Linked DNA regions of Danio rerio. The main gene of each other region encodes a partner of the protein of the gene in region 2 in a complex. Links are inferred from orthologs where the notes say so. Each region holds a gene or a part of one and is shown on either strand. Other genes may lie near its edges.

The links.
Region 1: vps8 (region 2) and si:ch211-266g18.9 share a complex: the UniProt entries of both Homo sapiens proteins name them as parts of the putative class C core vacuole/endosome tethering (CORVET) complex. The link is inferred for Danio rerio from reciprocal best matches to the Homo sapiens genes VPS8 and TGFBRAP1.

The regions. Positions count from the first base shown.
Region 1 is NC_133192.1:16,857,615-16,862,158, reverse strand, and holds the start of si:ch211-266g18.9 (transforming growth factor-beta receptor-associated protein 1), read left to right. Parts: upstream 1-1,582; 5' UTR 1,583-1,629; intron 1,630-1,907; 5' UTR 1,908-2,084; intron 2,085-3,935; 5' UTR 3,936-3,982; coding exon 3,983-4,544. UniProt on the Homo sapiens protein: Plays a role in the TGF-beta/activin signaling pathway. It associates with inactive heteromeric TGF-beta and activin receptor complexes, mainly through the type II receptor, and is released upon activation of signaling.
Region 2 is NC_133176.1:33,661,762-33,666,230, reverse strand, and holds the start of vps8 (vacuolar protein sorting-associated protein 8 homolog), read right to left. Parts: upstream 2,892-4,469; 5' UTR 2,788-2,891; coding exon 2,716-2,787; intron 2,419-2,715; coding exon 2,350-2,418; intron 690-2,349; coding exon 553-689; intron 454-552; coding exon of another isoform or gene 448-453; coding exon 357-447; intron 1-356. UniProt on the Homo sapiens protein: Plays a role in vesicle-mediated protein trafficking of the endocytic membrane transport pathway.

The DNA.
Region 1 (4,544 bases), on a different chromosome or scaffold from region 2:
TTTAATATCCTCTATCTTTATATACAAATAATGATATAGCTTACAACTACATGTAAACTTAAATGAACACTTCTTTTGAAATTAGGCTCATTTTAAGTTTGCTTGAGTTAAACTGATGAAGTTGACCATTTTTAAATCTATTCCGCCGATCTTCAGGTCTGGCTGCAGCACTTTTAGTGGAGCTTAGCATAGATCATTGAATCGGATTAGACCATTAGCATCTCGCTCAAAAATGAGTTTAGATAAGTTTTCTATTTAAAGCTTGACTCTTCTGCATTTACATTGAATATTAAAAAGGACAATGAAAAGTTGCTATTTTCAAGGCCAATATGGCTAGTATCTATACTCTTTTTTGAAGTAATACGCAAGGAATTTTGCTGCTGTATGATGGCTGCAGAAGGAACAGTAAAATTAAGCAGATGCTAACTGGTGGTGCAGATGTAGGTCTTGGTTCTTGGGGTTTTTCTCAGGCACTTTTTTAAAGCATTGGGGTCAAAAAATCCTAGAGGGACTTGCTAGCATTCATAGTAAATTTTCTGTCATGTCAGTATGATTTCAGTAGCCATAAGCATTGATCTGTAAGTCGCAGAGACTGTTTTTAAGAAATGCATCATTGCTTTTAAAATGTTTTAACACATCTGTATTACATTTTTATTTAAGGGTTAGTCCCTTATTTATCAGGGGTCGCCACAGCAGAATGAACCACCAACTATTTCGACATATGTTTATAGCGCATGTCTTTGGACTGTGGGGGAAACCAGAGCACCCTGAGGAAACCCACACAAACACAGGGAGAACATAACAGCTGCACACAGAAATGGCCCAGCTGGGACTCGAACCAGTGGTCTTCTTGCTGTGAGGCGACTGTGCTAAACACTGTGCCACAGTGCCACCTTTACATGTTTATTCATTTACTTTTCGGCTTAGTCTCTTTATTACCCAGGGGTCGCCACTGTGGAATAAACTGCAAACTTATCCAGCATATGTTTTACGCAACAGATGCCATTCCAACTGCAACCCAGTACTGGGAAACATCCATACACACTCATTAACACAAATTCACTACGGACAATTTAGCTTACCTAATTCACCTATAGCGTATGTCTTTGGACCTGGGGGGGAAACTGTAGCACCCAGAGGAAACCCACGCCAACATGAGGAGAACATGCAAACTCCACACAGAAATGCCAACTGACTCAGCCGAGTCTCGAACCAGCGTCCTTCTTGCTGTGAGGTGACAGCGCTACTCACTGCGCCTTGTGTCTATGCAGGTAAATGTGCATTTGGTAGAGCCACACTTTATTTAAAATACATGTGAAAACTGTCATAAGATGAACTTGTGTATTCATGCATACTGAGTCAGTTTGCCACTAATATTGTTCTGTAAACAGAAAAAATTTCCAAGTCACTTTAAAAAACATCTCGAGAGCATGTAAGAAATATTTAACCAAGGGTTTTATGTCTCTGAGATATTTGGCATTGTGAAACCAATGATCCATTCAGAGCTGGAGTAAAAGCAGCAAAACTGCTGACACAAACTTCCTCAGGATGAGAGTCACATGGCAAGGTCAAAATACAATTCAGTGAAAGAGAAACGTCTACAACACTGACAGCGTCTACATTAACGAGGTGAGACTGCTATTTATTATTTTTTATGCTGAACAAACACTGTATATACTGGTTAAATATAATTTCAACTGATTATGGTGCTAATTACTTTGCTTTACTAAAGCGAGACACTGCAGGTAAAAAAAAGTTTTTTTTTCTCTGTAATGTAAAGAAAACATCTAAAATACGCAGAATAGGCTCAATCTAAAAACGTAGATATATTTACATTTCTGAAGATCGCAAATTATGTAGCCAGAGCTACGTATAGCTGCATTTCATCTTTAAAATGAATGCTACAGGGGCGGTATGATGGCGTTCCTTTACACGCTTGGCAGCTAACCTCCATGTGGACAGCTTTTACACTGTTACCAGTTTGTCCAGTGGCTCGACACGTACATCGGCCGACTTGAGACACAGAGAGGAGTTAACCGTGACTACCAAGTTCTAGTCTGGTGAAGAAAGGTTCCAGAAAGCAGGTAAGAGAAAAACAGAAGCCAAAAAATAAAATAACAGGTGGAGAATGTGGTAAAATCGTGGTAAAAAACGTGGTAAAAACCAGGCGAGGGCTTTTCTTTTTCTGGATTGCTTTTGAAAATTAATGGTTGGGTTTAGGGAAGTGGGTGGGTAAGTCAATCTGTGCTTTTTAAAACACTATTGGTTGGGATTAGGGAAGGAGGAGGGTGGGTGAGTTGATCGGTCAGTCAGTCAGTAATATAGTCAGTCAGTCGACAGCAGCATCTGGTGGATTTACGCAAGAACAGCAGGTGCGCGAGAGAAATTTAAGATATGAATAACCATACACAGCGACCTCTGGTGGATTTGCAAAAACAAAAACTGCAACAAAAAAAAACTTAGCTCCAGGGATGTGTTTGGCTCTCTCCAGAAATATGTAAAAAGGTAAATAATCAAAATGAGCCTGGGTTGAAAATATATATTAAAGTGCTACTTTATCGTCTTGTGTTGTTGAAATTCAATTACTTTACACATTTTTAAAAGAAATTAAAACAGCAAATTAAAGCACATTTAATTAAATAATCCTTACTTGCATATTCAGACATAATTTAGAAAACTAGTAACGCCAAAAAAATTAGCAATTCTTATGACATTCAGCTCTGTTAATATAACTGATTGGTTTTCAATTTCAAGGTTTCCATAAAATATTTTACCCAAAAATGAAAATTCTCAAGTGTTTAAGCCTACATATGTTTCTTTATTTTGAATATTATAAAGAATGTTGGGTTGGCACAGTGGCTCAATGGTTAGCACTGTCACTTCACCGCAAGAAGGTCGCTGGTTCGAGTCCCAGCTGGGCCAGGGGACATTTCTGTTAGGAGTTTGCATTTTCTCCCAGTGTTCACATGGGTTTCCCCCGGGTGCTCCCTACAGTCTACAGACATGGGCTTTAAGTTGATAAACTAAATTGGCCATAGTGTATGAGTGTGTATGTATATGGGTGTTTTCCACTACTGGGTTACAGCTGAAAGGGCATCTGCTGCCTAAAACATATGCCGAAATAGTTGGCAGTTCATTCAGCTGTAGCAACCTCTGAAACAGACTGAGCCGAAGGAAAATAAATGAATAAATGAAGAATGTTTGAAACTGGTGCATTCACCTCCATGGTAGAAAAAAAAACAAATACTATTAAAGGATATCTTCTTTTATGTTCAACAAAAAAATAAAACACTTTTACCTCTCACTTGTTTCTTAAAAGTGAATTTAGAAAACTTTCATTCATTTTCTTTTCAGCATAGTCACTTTATTAATCAGGGATTGCCAGAGAAGAATGAACCACCAACTTCATTCATTAATTTTCTTTTCGGCTTAGTCCCTTTCCTAATCAGGGAACGCCGCAGCAGAATTAACCAACAACTTATCCAGCATATGTTTTATACAGCTGATGTTCTTCTAGCTGCAACCAATCACTGGGAAACACCTATACACTCTTATTCAAACACATACACTATGGCCATTTTAGCTCATTTAATTCACCTATAGCAAATGTCTTTGGACTGTGGTGGACACCGGAGCACCCTGAGGAAACCAACACGGGGAGAACATGCAAACTCCACACAGAAATGCCAACTAATCCAGCCGAGGCTCGAACCTTCTTGTTGTGAGGTGACACCATCACACCGCCTTAGTTTAGAAAACTTGTAATACAAAAAATGAGTTACTCTTAATCCAATGAAGGGAACTAGTGATAACTACTTTTGCCCTTTTCATTTGGAGTGTACCTGTTTTTATTTATTTTTTTGCTTCCAGCACACAGAGAGCTGAACTAATGAAGGCTGTTTCCTATCTCCACCCAATTTTTCCTCTATTTTTAGGTGTACTTCTGCATCTGAGAACTACAGTAAATGAACAGTAAATAACCATGCAGGTCTTTACTCCAGCGCTAGTCTTTCAAAGAACGCCCTCAGGCAAAGGCAGAGACAAATTCAGCATTCAGTGTCTGGAGTGTTTCGGTAAAAACCTCTACATCGGGACCAAAGAGGGAGCCGTTGAGTACCTCACTGTAAACAACCCAAGCTCTCAACAAAGCCTTACAGTTCGGGAGGTGGGAAAGAGGCAGATGGGTCGAAGCGGAGCAATCATCAAATTAACAGCCATCCCGGTTCTCAATCACCTCTTGGTTCTTTGGGACGGTTCGATTACAGTGCTAAACATGTTCTCCCTTGAAGCCCTCCCAGCTCTGAAGAAAATCCCCAACGTTTTACTCTTTGCTGTCAGTGAGTCAGGGATTCAGAGAGATTCAGCGGAGCTCATCGTGGCCTCGAGCAGGAGGAAAACAGTAAGCGTTTATAAGGTGCATGTGGACAGATGGGAGTGTGTGAAACAGGTGGTTCTGCCGCAGGAACCTGTGCTTCTGGCTGCGCTCGGCACGTGTCTGTGTGTGGCCACTTGTGACAGATATTTTCTCCATGATCATCAGAGCC
Region 2 (4,469 bases):
TATGGGCCATTAAGTACATTTGTTAAATGTAATACATTAAATAATGTTAACAAATGTGATCTTATTTTAATGTTACAAAAATATTTAATGAACAAAAATTTTAAAAAATGCTGTTTGTTCAAATCAAGCTGAAACAACACAATTATTCTTTTTTTTTTTTTTTTTGGAGACAGTTTAATTGTTTTATGTTCAATCCACTTAAATCTTTAGAATTTAATAAGTTAACCTAATTCCCTCATGTTGTCCCAATTCAAATGTATTTTTTACAGTGTAGTCATCAAATACACAACATATTTAAGCACAGCTTATGTAGTACAGCATTGTTGGAATTGTGGATGAAGTATTATTCCTCTTACCGCAGCAGATACTATCTGAGCTGAGATGCCCTTCAGCACATTGCGTCTAAGAACAGATCCATGCACTGTAGCATTAGTTTCCACTGCTTTCCTCCTCCTGAGGGGAACACACAGAATAATAACTCAAAAGAAAATACTTCTTTAACAGCAGAACAAAAACCACAACAGGGCAAGAACAACAATATAAAGGAAGTGCGCATTCCTCTTTAAATGCGTTCGGTCTCCACTGTCAGAGCTGGCCAAAGAAGAGGTCTCACACGAGTGGGCATCAATGTTCTCTGTGTTCAAAAGACATGTGTCCTCTAAAATGAATGGCTCATCCTCATCTTCAGGCTGAAATAAATCAAAGAGCATTGACAAATGAATAGATAGTGTGCTAAAATAAATTTAAGGCACTCCTACTTGCAAAAACATGATTTTGTTATCACTAGTTTTGGGTGTTTGTCTTCTGTTTGGTAAGTCTTACTTAAATTCTAAACTTAGTATTGTGTGTCTGAAAACTCAGTCTTAAGATAAATAACTTGTGATTATATATCTTCTTTTAAAGAATCTTAAATTTGTGAATGCATGTAATGTCTGGTAAATTCAAAGACCTTCAAATACAGCATGTTAAAATATTAAAAAGAACAAAGTTGTACAAATTTATAAAAAAATTTAAATTATTTAACGAAAAAATTATAAACCATTTTAAATTAAATATATATAAAAATATATAAATAAATATATTTTAACACTAAACAAAATATTTTATTTGTTCCAAATATATTTGACTTTCTTTCTCTTGTTCTGAAGAATGTTAAAAGTAAAACAGCCATTGACTTCCATAGAATATTTTGTTGCTACTGTGGATGTTAATAACACTTTTTTCCCAATATTCCTCAGAATAACTTTCTTTGTATTCAACAGGAGAAAGAGTTTGGCAACAAGTGAATGATGAGTAAATGGTAACACAATTTACATCTCTTCCTTGAATAATGTTACAGTTTTCGTAAGGGATGCTCCAATTAGTCAGCCACAGTTTGCTATCATTACTCAATCGGTACTTGCTGATCTGGCTGATATCATGAACCGATTGCAAGGGTTTGTGTTAGTTGGGGACGAGCAAAATATTAGAATGACCTTGCATGTATTCAGGCCTTTTTACATAAAACACTGAATGTTTTGTGTTTTTGACAATATTGCAATTTCACTAAAACCTGGCTGGAAAATTACATAAATAAAACTTTTTTTTTTTTTTTTTTTACATAAAGATTTAATAATATAACTTCTTGTAATATACTTACTGCAATAAACAGTACTTTATAGGTCTATTTTAGTAAAGAAGTAAGGGATGTGTGCATTTGAACTTCTTATGCATTAAATATGCAATTTGAAAAATGTTTTCATATTGCTTTGTTTGTCATTTTTCTGACCAATTTTTTTAGATTTTATCTATTATTTTCTGTAAATCTTCTTTTGACCATGACATGTTCACACCTAAATGGCTATAAGAGAAATGTTTAAGGGGTAATTTGCAACATCCTTAATTTTTTTTTAACTTGGGTAAGAAGATATCTCCACTTAAGTAACATACGTAGAGGAAAAATGTGCTTTATGCATTGCCAATCACTATGACAAAGAATCAGTACTTGGTATCGGCTGCAAAAATCCTGATTGGAGCATCCCTAGTTTTTGTGGGGGTTTTTAATTTAGCATATCATTTTATTTGGAGGTAAACAATCCCTTTAATTTCTTCACAAATTATTTTAAACATTTGATTGGAAAAGTGGATAATATTACATTAGGGTTTTTTTATAAAATCTTGGTCTATCCATAATTCCCATAAACCCATTTACATGTGTCACTTGGTTTCATAACTGTCTCTACATATAGTTATGAAACGTTGAAAAGAGCATAAAGGTGCGTTCTAACCTTCGACTGGTGAATCTGCACATCTAATATCTTGAGGGTGCTGATAGGGAACAATAAAAAAAACAGACAGTCTGATACTGACCTCATTAAGGATGCTTTCTAGGGTCGGAGGTGTGTCCACTTGAGGGATGTCAAACTCTTTATCGTCAATCTACAATGTAAATGCATGTTTACTATTAAAACGCACATGTATCAAAGAACAGAGCTATAAAGAAGTGCAGAGGATTCTTACCATACATACAATATAATAACAATAATACATTACAAAAACATATAACGGTTATGCACAAAACAATCACGACCTCAGTGACAAACGTAAAAGAAAGAAGCATAAATAAAGCGCACCTATCTAATAACCTGTAAATAAGCAAACCAATTATAACAAAAATTAACACAATCATAGACACTGAATCATCTTAACGTTAACGTTAGTCAATCTCAGACGTACCGCCTCTATTTCCATTAAATTGAGCTGTGACGACGCAGAAACAAGACTCCGACAGTCTGGAGACTCAGCCATTGTACTGTCAAAGATCAGCTCTTGGATAAAATATCATCAAGTTATATCTTTATCAGCTGTAGTCAAAATGCACTACAGCAACAGACTACATCCTAGTTGTTGTCGGAAAAGGCGGGACTTCACGGCATACGTAATCATTCAACTTCCTGTTTATAAAAAGTCGTGTCTTTAAAAACATATCCGGCTAACTTGTTTGGATTTTTTTTATACATAAGCAAAAAATGCATGGCTTCAATTTTCTTTTACATTTTACATTTTCTTTTACATTTTCTGATTGAAGTTGACTCACTGCTCAAATCTTTCTGTATGTGTAAAACAAAAAATGTGTCAGATTCCTGGTTCTATATAAAGAGCTGTTGTCTATTGACTCTGATTAGAACGCTTTCCTAATGCTCTTAATTTATTTTCATACACTTTTATACAATTGTAAATTACTCACCCCTTCCTTTGTTTTGTTAATCTTTTTTTTTTTTTCTTTCTGCTGCTAATGTAATTTGTATTTTTCTCAATTTTATGTCGATCTCCTGATTGTGGTTGTATATTTGCATTCTTTAATAAAAAATAAAAATAAAAAGTTGTGTCTTTAATAAAAATGTTATTACCATCGTATGATATCAGTAGAGTTTCTTCTTACTACCTGTCTTTCTTGAGTGGTAATTTTAATTTAGTAAACTTAAAAATACATAAAAAACACCAAATTCCCTGTATTATCAATATTATTATTATTCATTTATTCATTAATTTTCTTTTCGGCTGAGTCCCTTTATTATTCTGGGGTCGCAATTAACCACAAATTTATCCAGCATATGTTTTACGCAGCGAATGCTCTTTCAGTTGCAACCCATTACTGGGAAACCCATACACAGTCATTCGCATACATACATACATGAACCAGCAACCTTCTTGTTGTGAGGCGACAGGACTACATAATGCGCCGCAATTATTATTATTATTCTCACTTATAAATTATTTAATTCACTTATAAATTAATTAATTCTATAAAATAAGCCTTCACTTAACTCCATCATCATTGTAATTTAATATAAATCTGAACAGAAAGGCAATACAATAGAAATAGAAATGCAGTTTTTTTTAAATTATGCCGTTTTCTTTAAAACACGTTATTATTATTATTATTATTATTATTATTATTATTATTAATATTGTTGTTGTTGTTGTTGTTATCATTTTCATTATCATTATCATTATCATATATTATTATTATACTGTTTGTTTGTTTTTTTTATTTATTTAATTATTTAAGTTGTATACAAGATAAATATGCAATCATTTATATCACAGATTTTATAAATTGATGTATGTGTATATGCTGAACATTTCCAACCAAATGTATAAATCTTTCAATAGGATATTCACATTTTATCATAAAATATGTAAGCAAAATTACAAAAGAAAGAAAGAAAGAAAATTAACAAGAGCAAATAAACATAACAATTACTGTAGAGAAGAGAAGTTTAGTTCTTGGAGTAGGCCCGTATTTACAGTTTTGATTGCTTTAAGTGTTTTTAAATAAAGTTTGACAGCAGCTTTTAAGTGGAAGATATTAGCCTTCCTCTCTGACCATTTACACTTGTGTATATGAAACTTTCCTAATAATATCAAAAGATTTAACATAAACAGGAGATTCTTATCTCTATTTTTTTATTCTCTTTTCTTTATAT